Linked DNA regions of Ovis aries. The protein of the gene in region 1 binds, or shares a complex with, the protein of each later gene. Links are inferred from orthologs where the notes say so. Each region holds a gene or a part of one and is shown in the gene's direction. Other genes may lie near its edges.

Region 1 (4,305 bases):
CTGAATTAGGATTAGTGATAAAATATTTTTTCCTTGACAATATATGCTTGTTCTTGAGTATACTATTTGACCTTGAAAACATTTTGAAGTGTTCTATAGAGATACATTCTTAATTTCCTAAGACATCTCAGTAGGATCTGTACCCTTTATTGAATGGTTTTGTTTCTTTATAAATATTCATACCTTCAACTTAGGCACAAGTGTTTCATTATATGGAAGCAGTAGTATAAGTATTCCCAAGCTCAGAGTGTCAGTGAGGAGTTCCAGTGGCTAACAGATGTGCCAAAAGTTTCCTACAGAGTAAGGAGCTGTGTCCATTGAAGCCTGCAGCCTGTGTCATGCACCTTTGTTTGTGACACACATAAAGATAATTTTTATGTACATAAAACAAAGGAAACCTGGATTAAAGTGCCTCAAAATATACAGAATGTTAAAAATTTTGTTATTTGCGGGTTTTTTCAGGGGTTTTTAGTTTTAACGAAATATTTGAGTGCCTATAGTGTGCAAAGTGTGTAAATTAGAGAATCATAATTCATAGACATAACATACAAAAGTGAAGAACTACTTTGTACATGATACGAAGAATTTTCCAATTCGAACTCATTTTTTTTGCTGCTTTCAAATATTTAAATCTACTGACTCTACTGGTAACTAGAGAAGTTTAAGAAAATGAGCATTACTTATCTCTTCTAAATTGAGACACTTTGAGAGAGCAGTTTTTTCTTTTTGAACTGACTTTCAGATGAGAGATCTTGTCTTCACCCTCCTCTCCCCCCAGAATTTATCCTGTTCCTTCTTAAAAACATATTTAAATTTAACTTCCTAGCATGTTTAATGGTCTCATACTACTAAGTCCCTTTTGGGAACGCTTGGTGCTGTTTTATTTTCCAGTTTGAGCAGTGAAGGCCCTTTTGTTGATTATATTCTGTACCCAAGAGATAGCAATTGGTCCTTCTCACCTGCTTCTTAAGCCCTCATGTGCATGCTGATGGTGCTTTGGATCCTTGTCCTTTCTGTCCTAAAGATCTTGCTTCCCATTGCTTCTTCTGGGGAGCTCTCTGGTTGATTCTGGTTCTGGAAATAATGATTGGTGCTTTCTGGCTACTATGATGACATGAGCCCCCAGATCACTGGGTTTTAAATAAAATACTAGTAGACTTTTGTAACAAGCAAATTTGGGGCTTGCTCTTTCCTCTCAAAAGACCTCACTAAGGTCTTTGGATCTGTAGCAGAGAAGTTACTCTTATAGGAGGAGAGCCAGAGGATTTGCACTAATGCGCTTGCTGTTTCCCACAGGCTCCTACCCAGAGATCCTATCCAGTGAAACTCCCACAGCGGCGCAGGTAGACGGGGCCGACCTGGCCTCTCCAATGTCTCCTCGAACGAGCAAAAGCCGCATGTCCATGAAGCTGCGTCGCTCCTCTGGCTCCGCCAATAAGTCCTAAGGAGACAGCAGCCTGGCAGTGGTCACCAGTAGCCACCTTAGCATGAACATGGCGTTAACCCTTCCAGGCTTTGTGTTTGCCATAATATGCATGTTCCTTCCTGAACATTTATTTTAGAAAACACTGGATTTAAATAATTTGTAACTTAGTATTTTAGATTTGGGTTGTTTATTCGGTTGGTTTTTTCCCCCACACTCCACGCTGCCATATGGGGGGTAAGGGGTGAAGCTTTATTCTATACCCTTTACCTTCCCTCACTAATTATGTCCAAGTAGTTTTACTTTGAATTTCATAATTAAATTTGAGCCAAAATATAATTGGACAGATAAGCCTCATGATTTTATCGTGCCCCATTACAACTTTATGGCTCAGTAAATATATAATTTTTTAATAAATGTACATCTTTAAACATTTGTAACGTTGTGGCAAAAGTTACAGATCTGTTAATACACTTGATGTGTATGGATTATTTATGTTATCGAAATAAACGACTTAAAATAAATGGTCTTTTAGCTTCTCAAGTTCCAGCTGAAATAAGTTTAGCATTACCTTTTTCTTCCCAAAGCAGTGTCTCATTTCTCGGCTGTGTAGCAGGTGATGCCATGACATATCTAAAACCAGAAAAATCACTGTGCTGGACTCTGATTCATGTTTAGCTTCCAAATATTTTTCTAATGTTTTGCTTTTTAAATGGTATCACTGTTAAATGCCACTTCTGTTTTGAGATTATGGCCCCTTATTATTGGCTGCTGGACCCTGGTATATCTATGTTCTTTCTTAAGTACCGAAAAGGGAAGAATGAGGTGGGGTGGGTAGGAAAAAAAGAAAACTTTTCTAAGTGTGTGGCTTAAATTATGTGTATTATTTTAAAAGAAAAGGGAACATGACCCAGGAGTCTAAATTAATCTAATATTGTTAATACTGAACATGCAGGTGCAGGTTGGTATACATTCCACCCTCCACAAATATTTTCCTACAGTAGATAAGCTGCTCACATTTTGCTCACGTTTTTTTTTTTTGAACGAGCATCTCCTAAGGAAATGTAGCATGACATTGGTACTAACTGCATGTGTAAATACATCATATCGGCAAACTATAAAATATAAATTATGTATCATCATTCATGTAGTATCTACAAATTTGTAACAGTGGAAAAAAGATGGTATTTAATAATACAATAAAAATATTCTTATCATTTTGTGTTCATGAGTGGTCTTTTATATTTTTTCAGACTTAATAAGCAGGGCCATAAAGCATGAAAAACTAACTTAACTAGGCTTAACTAATCATGAAAAACGAATTTTAACTCTCTTCTTTGGATACACCCCATTTCTCAGAGATCCTACCACAGTTACTAAAAATAGATTTTTCACTTTTCATAGCATCTCACCAGAAACTTCCTCCAGTGCACTTGGTTAAAGCATCTATTTATCTCACTTTCATGCTTCTTTGGTTACTTAAATTTTACTTTTTTTGGTAATATATATTCAGGAACAAAACTTTTTACAGTTTGTAAAGGAAGCTTTCAGAGTTCCTGTGCACTTAAAATTTTGGATTTCCTTATAGATAAAAACAAATTCCTAAGAAACTATGTAGAAAATAAACTAAAATTCCCAGTAAAGCTTATATAAAGGATAAATATGGATAGAGAGAGCTCTGAGAACAAGATTAAACAATACAGTTTCCCACAACCAAAATGAAGAACTGCAAAAAAGATAAAATACCTACTTACAAATTTCTGTAGTGCTTTTCCTTTTTAAAAAAAATGAACAAGTTAATGGTTTGATAATATGTAACAAATTGGAGTGAAAATACTAACTTAAAAATACTGAAGTTAATTAGCACAGTTAACATTTTACTCATCTTCAAATAATTCACTAGTTTTGAAAAAAAATATGTAAAATATTTTCTGTTGACATTTTTGGGTGGTAAAGTATCTTTAATATTTGAAGAATAGTACATATCCCTTGCTTTTTGGAGTTCAGTCTATGCAGCCATACTTCCAAGGAAAATCTCCCATTTATGCACCATTATAATCATTTACAAAATATAATTTCTTTTGTCTGTATTCCAACTAAATGGATCACCAAGATTACTGGCTTTGGGGAGATGAGAAGTGTGGCATTTAGAAACAGGCTGTGTTCAATGGGATTCTTTAGACAAACAACGCAACAAAGCACCAGCTATGTACATTTATTTGGTGGTAAGCATCTTACAAATAGGGGCTACCTGTCCAGCAGTACTCAGCCAGTGTTCCAAACTCTGGCTATTAGGGCATAGGTACAGAATACATGCTAAATATGGTTTACAAAAAGAAATTCAAAACCAGATTGCTGCTGAAATAATGAATTGCCATTCATTTTCATAGTGGGTTATAAGTATTAACATCTTTCTTAAGCTGAACATAGTGTCATATATAATACACATTATAAGATTTACAACAGAAACATTAAAACAAGTTGGATGAAACCCTACTTAAACTGAAACTTTAGGAAATGAGTTCTGTATTTCCCAAAAGCTTATATTAAAGGTTTAAAGTATCTTCCTGAATACTGCACACAAAAGGGCTAGAGGTGAGAATCTGGGAGGGCTCTCAACTCCTTTCAGTAAGAGGCGTTATTCCCCACCTCCAGACACCAGCCTCAGAGTGTACTAAGCATTGAGAAAAGGAAAGTTTACAAGGAGATCTCCACATCACCCAAAAGTGCGCAAACATCTTACATTTCCTTTCTTACAAGACACTGGTCTTGTATTTCCCACCCACCCAATGTAAGTTTGGCACCAATCACATAACTGTTAATTCACAGAATATACAGTGCAAGACGTCTGACCCCATTGAGACAGAAACTACAGAGGCGCT
Region 2 (5,220 bases), on another chromosome or scaffold:
AAAATTAGTGTAATACATATATATGGCAATAGCTAAAAACATACTTCAGTTCAGAAATACTAATAGCTTTTGGGTTTTTTTTGCAGAGAACTCTCAAAATTCAAAAGCTATGTAAACCCAACAGAACTGAGACGATCTTCCATTAATATCCTGCTTTCTTTGTTGCCCCTCCCACATCACTTTGGCACAGTCAAATCTGAGGTAAGATTTTATTAAAGTTTTTTCTATTATTTATGTTTTGTGTGCTAATTCAAGTCAATATATATTTTTTAAGATGGAACTGGAACTTTCTTAAAAATTTCAGATTATTTCAGGTGAATCAGCAAAGTTGATTTGCGAAGGTATTTCTTCTGTCACTCAGCCGTTCTACTATTTCACGTGGGGAGAGGCTAGTGTGTCTGATCCCCTATGTTGTGTAAGTTAGTGATAGACTTTAGCACGGTTGGCTACCATCAGTCAGACTGAAAGCCCTGCTCGTTGGACTGATCCTCTCTTTGTCCACTGTAGCAGTTCCTACAGGACTGTAGTGTGCCGCAGCAGGTGATATTAAATGTTATTTGTTTCTTCCGCAGGTAGTCCTGGAAGGAAAGTTTAGTAATGATGACAGCTCTTCTTATGATAAACCAATAACTTTTTTGTCACTGAAGCTGAGACTTGTGAATATACTAATAGGTGCCTTGCAAACGGAAACGGACCCCAACAACACTCAAATGATACTAGGTTTGTGTTCACACATTTTTTCTGTAAGTGGAAACCCAGATACTGTTGTTGATCTCAGGCGTCTTGAGGCAGGGGGTCAGTGATAGGAACCTAAGCGAAGTACAGCCCTACTTAATTCTTAATCAGAGGCAGAATTGTTTGCTCTTAAACTTGAAAAAAGTTTGAAGAGGTGAGATGAGGGAAGGAACGCATCAGTTGTCTTGGTAGGTCATGTTGGATTAGTTTTTTGTGTGTTCTTTATTTTTCTCTTCCCCACTTGCCCTTCCTCTCTCCTTGCGTCCCCCTTTTCTCCCCTTTCCTCTCTGCCATCATTACTTTTACTTCTGCCTTTTCCTCCTGCCCGTTAGTACATGCAAGGCTGTTTGGAGTTGGGTGTAATTGTGGAAGTCATGACAGAACCTGCCAAGAGGAGACTGAGGAGTAACTGTTTCTGCCTCCTCCCTTTTCCCTTATTGTTTCCTACTGGTTTTCTAATCATACTGTTGTGAATGACTTTTCGTCATTATCGCCACTTCTATATTTTAAACCCTTATCACCTCTCAACTTGGTTACTGCAGCTGTCTCTTACTGTACTTCTTTGGTTTTTAATCAAATCTAAGGGCATGGTCCTAAGTATAGGTACTCTGAGGAGAAAGAAGCAAATTGCACAGCTTTTATCCTTGAGCAAGTCTCATTGCAGAGATTGAAACACCTTCTCAGAATACTCAGATAACAGCAGAAGGCAGTGCTGATAGCATGTCATGTTGGATGTCTTTAGTGTTGAGAGAGAATAAACTGAAAGAGCAAGGAAACTTCATAGGGGAAAGTGGAAATTAGATTGGATCTTAAAGGGCAGGATTTGAATAGGCACCAGTGAGGTTAGGATTTCATTTCAGGAGGGGAAACAGCAAGGCCGGAGAATTTGTGGTGACAGTAGTGGTCGGAGTGGGTGCCCCGTAATTATAGTGTGTTATGCAGCAAGAAGGGAGAATAAATAGAAGAGTAAATCCTTTCATTTTGGAAAGGAGTTTAATGAACAGAGGTTAAAGCTCAATATGAGAGGGCCTCCAAGTTGTAGTTTTTTAGATTGTTTAAAACACATATCAGTTGAAATCAGATAGTTTCTACAGTTGATGGAGTATTTAGTTCTGCTTTATCCTTGTTCTGTAGAAGCTCCCCTTGTATGTTCCAAGGAAGAGCCAATTGTCACTCTTGCATAGTTTGGCAAAACTGTTAACTGTTCTCTCTATCCCTAGTGCTCGGGAGCACTCCCCCACTGGGACGAGGAGTGCACAGTTCACCGTCTTGTTTCTTTACTAGTTTCTAGGGCTGTGAGTTCCTTGGTGATAAATACATGCGGCTTGCCTTCAGAATATGCAGCTGTGGGCAAGCCCTAAAAGCATTCTTAAAAAGCAGTTAGTTGGTCAGAAGGATACAGCTGTGGATTTTCACTTTGTTATTTTATACTGAAAAGATCAGAATCTGGTTTTTAAAATGTTCCATAATATTTTTCTTAGTTTATATTACCCTTGAAATTGAGATGTTTACATCTAGTCTTTTACACCAATTTAAAAATTGGTCATGTTTTTATACAAAACAAAGTTTGACATTCAGATTTATTTTAGAAAAATGTCATTTTAAAATTTGGGGGGCAGATCAGAATTAGGTCATTTTTGAAGAGTTTCTTTTTTGACCAACTGATGGATTTATCAGTAATCTTATGGAATTTCCAGGAATATTCTGCTAAAATCATATTCTTATCTTTGCTGTTAATTGAGATATTTTGTACATTTTCATATTCTTGTCATGTATTTAAATGTATTTTTTTGTTGTTTCAGGGGCAATGTTAAATATTGTTCAAGATTCAGCACTTTTAGAAGCTATTGGTTGCCAAATGGAGATGGTAAGAAGCATACAATATGTAATTAGTCAGAGAATATCAACTTCTGTTTTTATGTGAATTATATTCCAAAATGTCTGTCCTTGTGTTCTTAAAGGCATTTGTAGATTCAGCTCATTGATTCAGTGGGTCCTTTTAAAAATATTATCTGTTTTGAGGTTTCTTACCTTTCAGTGTCTCATTAGGTCCCTGAGAGATTCTTCGGGAGAGAAATTCCAGCTAAACAGTGTCTTTACTCCTGGACAGTGTTTACCTAAAGCTTTTATATCTTTTGCTGTGTTGGTGAATTGGCTTGAATAATCTAGAAAAATTCCCTTATTCTCTGATTCCATGTATCTGTAGTAGATGTAGTGTTTGCTGTAAACACCATCTAGTTTATCCTTTTTGATCTCAGCTGCTCTTTCTGTCCCTCTAGACCAAAGTTTGAAGGTTTTCCCAAAGCACCAGTGCCTCTAAATCAGAAATACTTTCCAGAGACTCCAATGCTCCCTGCTTCTGTCTTCAAGATGTGTGATGCCTCTACCTGGAATAGAGGCAGGCAGTTGGTAGGCAGGGAATTAACCGAGTATGCTGGGGTGAGATGAGTGGATGTAGGATGGGTGATCAAATTACTATTAAGGAAATTATGTTCACGTCCCAGTAGGTGGCTAATAACAGTCACCTTACATGGATAAGATGAAATGTGTTTGTAGGGGAGATGAGGGAAGTCTTTAGCAGATACCTTCATTAGCTCCTGTACATATGAGTTGATCTTTATCTATCTATCTATACTAATATATGCTATATATACTAATCATATATTTATTGTTTGTGTATTTTATGTAACATTGGAAAGTCATTTATTTGTGTTTTGTTTTTTAAGATGTATTCCTATTCTGAAGTTTTTCTGGAAGGCACTAGGGTATTTTTTTACAGACCCAGAACCATTAACTATTGAAGTCTAGTGAAGGTGGAAATAGTCTGATCCTTTTAAACAGCAGCAAAGATGATTCCAGAATGGGCAGCCTCTAATCATCAGACCCTTGATACCACTAGTAAATGGTGTTTATGTAAAAACACAACAGTTTTAATCCTGTTTATATAAAAAAATACCACAACAGTTTTAATCCTTTGTCAATTTTTATCTATGTATCAGTTTGTGCTATTTAGCTGGCACATTCCATTTTACCTACATGGCTTTTAGTGATTGGCTTCTGTCCATATTTGCATATTTGATTCTTTTTTTTTTTTTTTTTGACTAGGGTGGTGGAGAAAATAACTTCAAGAGTCATAGTCGCACAAATAGTGGTATTAGTTCAGCGAGTGGTGGAAGCACAGAACCCACAACTCCTGACAGTGAAAGACCTGCTCAAGCTCTCCTGAGAGATTATGGTAAGCCATGTTTAGTTTAGTTTGTTTTTTTTTAATCTTAAGTTATAGAATAACTTTCAATGCCCAGATATATAAAACAAGCAGAGAAATTTTAAACTAGATTTTCATGTTCATAATTTTTGTGTACTTAATATAACAGAGAAGCTATTAGTCTAAAACATTATGAAAAGGAAAACAGATCTTTTAAATTTAGCTCTACAGTTTTTAGTAGTTAGATTTTGGATAGTTTCTTAGGTTTTATAAGTGATTTATAGGAAGCATTTCTGAATTCTATAACCAGGTGCTAGTAATTCAGAATCAAATAGGATTTAGGCACTGCCTCAGAGTCTAATGGCAGAATCAGTCAGTGTTTCAGTTTTTGCAGTGTAGTGAGGATGGTTTATGCATTAGATGGCAACCCAAAGGAGAGTCTGCCTTTGTGTTTGAAGCCTGTGTACCCTACTATGTCTGGTTAGATTCTTCAGTCACAAAGAGTAAGGAAGCATTTGCAAGTAGAGCATCCTATTCAATAATGTCCTTTACCATGGCCAGTTGCTTTCTGGATTTTGTTGAGTTTATGGGTGCCTTTATGTTTTTATGCATAAATACTAATGGTATATTGAATCTAAGATTATTAATCCAACTAGATTGGAATGAAATCTAACTTCTTAGATGGAGTTTAATGTTTTAATCATTTGGAGAGTTTATAAGCCCGGGAGTCCAGGCATGTTTCAGTGATTTAAGTTTGCTATAAGTATCCTTCAGCTTGTCAGATACATAAGGTCATTGTGTGGTTATTTAACACATTTAAATATTGCATTTATGAAGAAGTTATTTGAATTGTTATTGTATTCGTTATGCTTGTATTTAAATATAGGTGAAAATTTGTTTATTTTTCTTGCTTCTAAAATGTTTTTAAACTAAAGAAATTTTTGCATTATTATATGTGTTCTAATATAAATGTTTGAAGTGGTTATTGTTTGTTTCAGTATTTTGAACTGGTGTTAGTGAGTTCTGCTTGTAATGTCATAAAATAGTTTTTACTAAGAAATCCAGATTTGTGTTAGTGTCGCATGAATGTCTCTCTTTAATGATCATTCCTTTTTCTGTTGTCACTGCCCTCTTTCTGATAGGATCGACAGGTATAATGTCCCTAAAGCTTCCTTCATAAATTCAATTTAGTTTGTCCTAATTTATTATTAACTGAGTAGTAATTACTTTTAAATATAGAATTGGAGGCTACATAAAAACACAGTTACTTGATTATTTAA

Evidence for each region.
Region 2: RALGAPA1 (region 1) and RALGAPB share a complex: the UniProt entries of both Homo sapiens proteins name them as parts of the heterodimeric RalGAP1 complex. The link is inferred for Ovis aries from reciprocal best matches to the Homo sapiens genes RALGAPA1 and RALGAPB.

The regions. Positions count from the first base shown.
Region 1 is NC_056071.1:43,524,040-43,528,344, reverse strand, and holds the end of RALGAPA1 (ral GTPase-activating protein subunit alpha-1), read left to right. Parts: exon of another isoform or gene 1-1,296; coding exon 1,297-1,445; 3' UTR 1,446-2,640; downstream 2,641-4,305. UniProt on the Homo sapiens protein: Catalytic subunit of the heterodimeric RalGAP1 complex which acts as a GTPase activator for the Ras-like small GTPases RALA and RALB.
Region 2 is NC_056066.1:67,421,818-67,427,037, forward strand, and holds part of RALGAPB (ral GTPase-activating protein subunit beta), read left to right. Parts: intron 1-86; coding exon 87-201; intron 202-572; coding exon 573-720; intron 721-2,537; coding exon 2,538-2,602; intron 2,603-3,840; coding exon 3,841-3,970; intron 3,971-5,220. UniProt on the Homo sapiens protein: Non-catalytic subunit of the heterodimeric RalGAP1 and RalGAP2 complexes which act as GTPase activators for the Ras-like small GTPases RALA and RALB.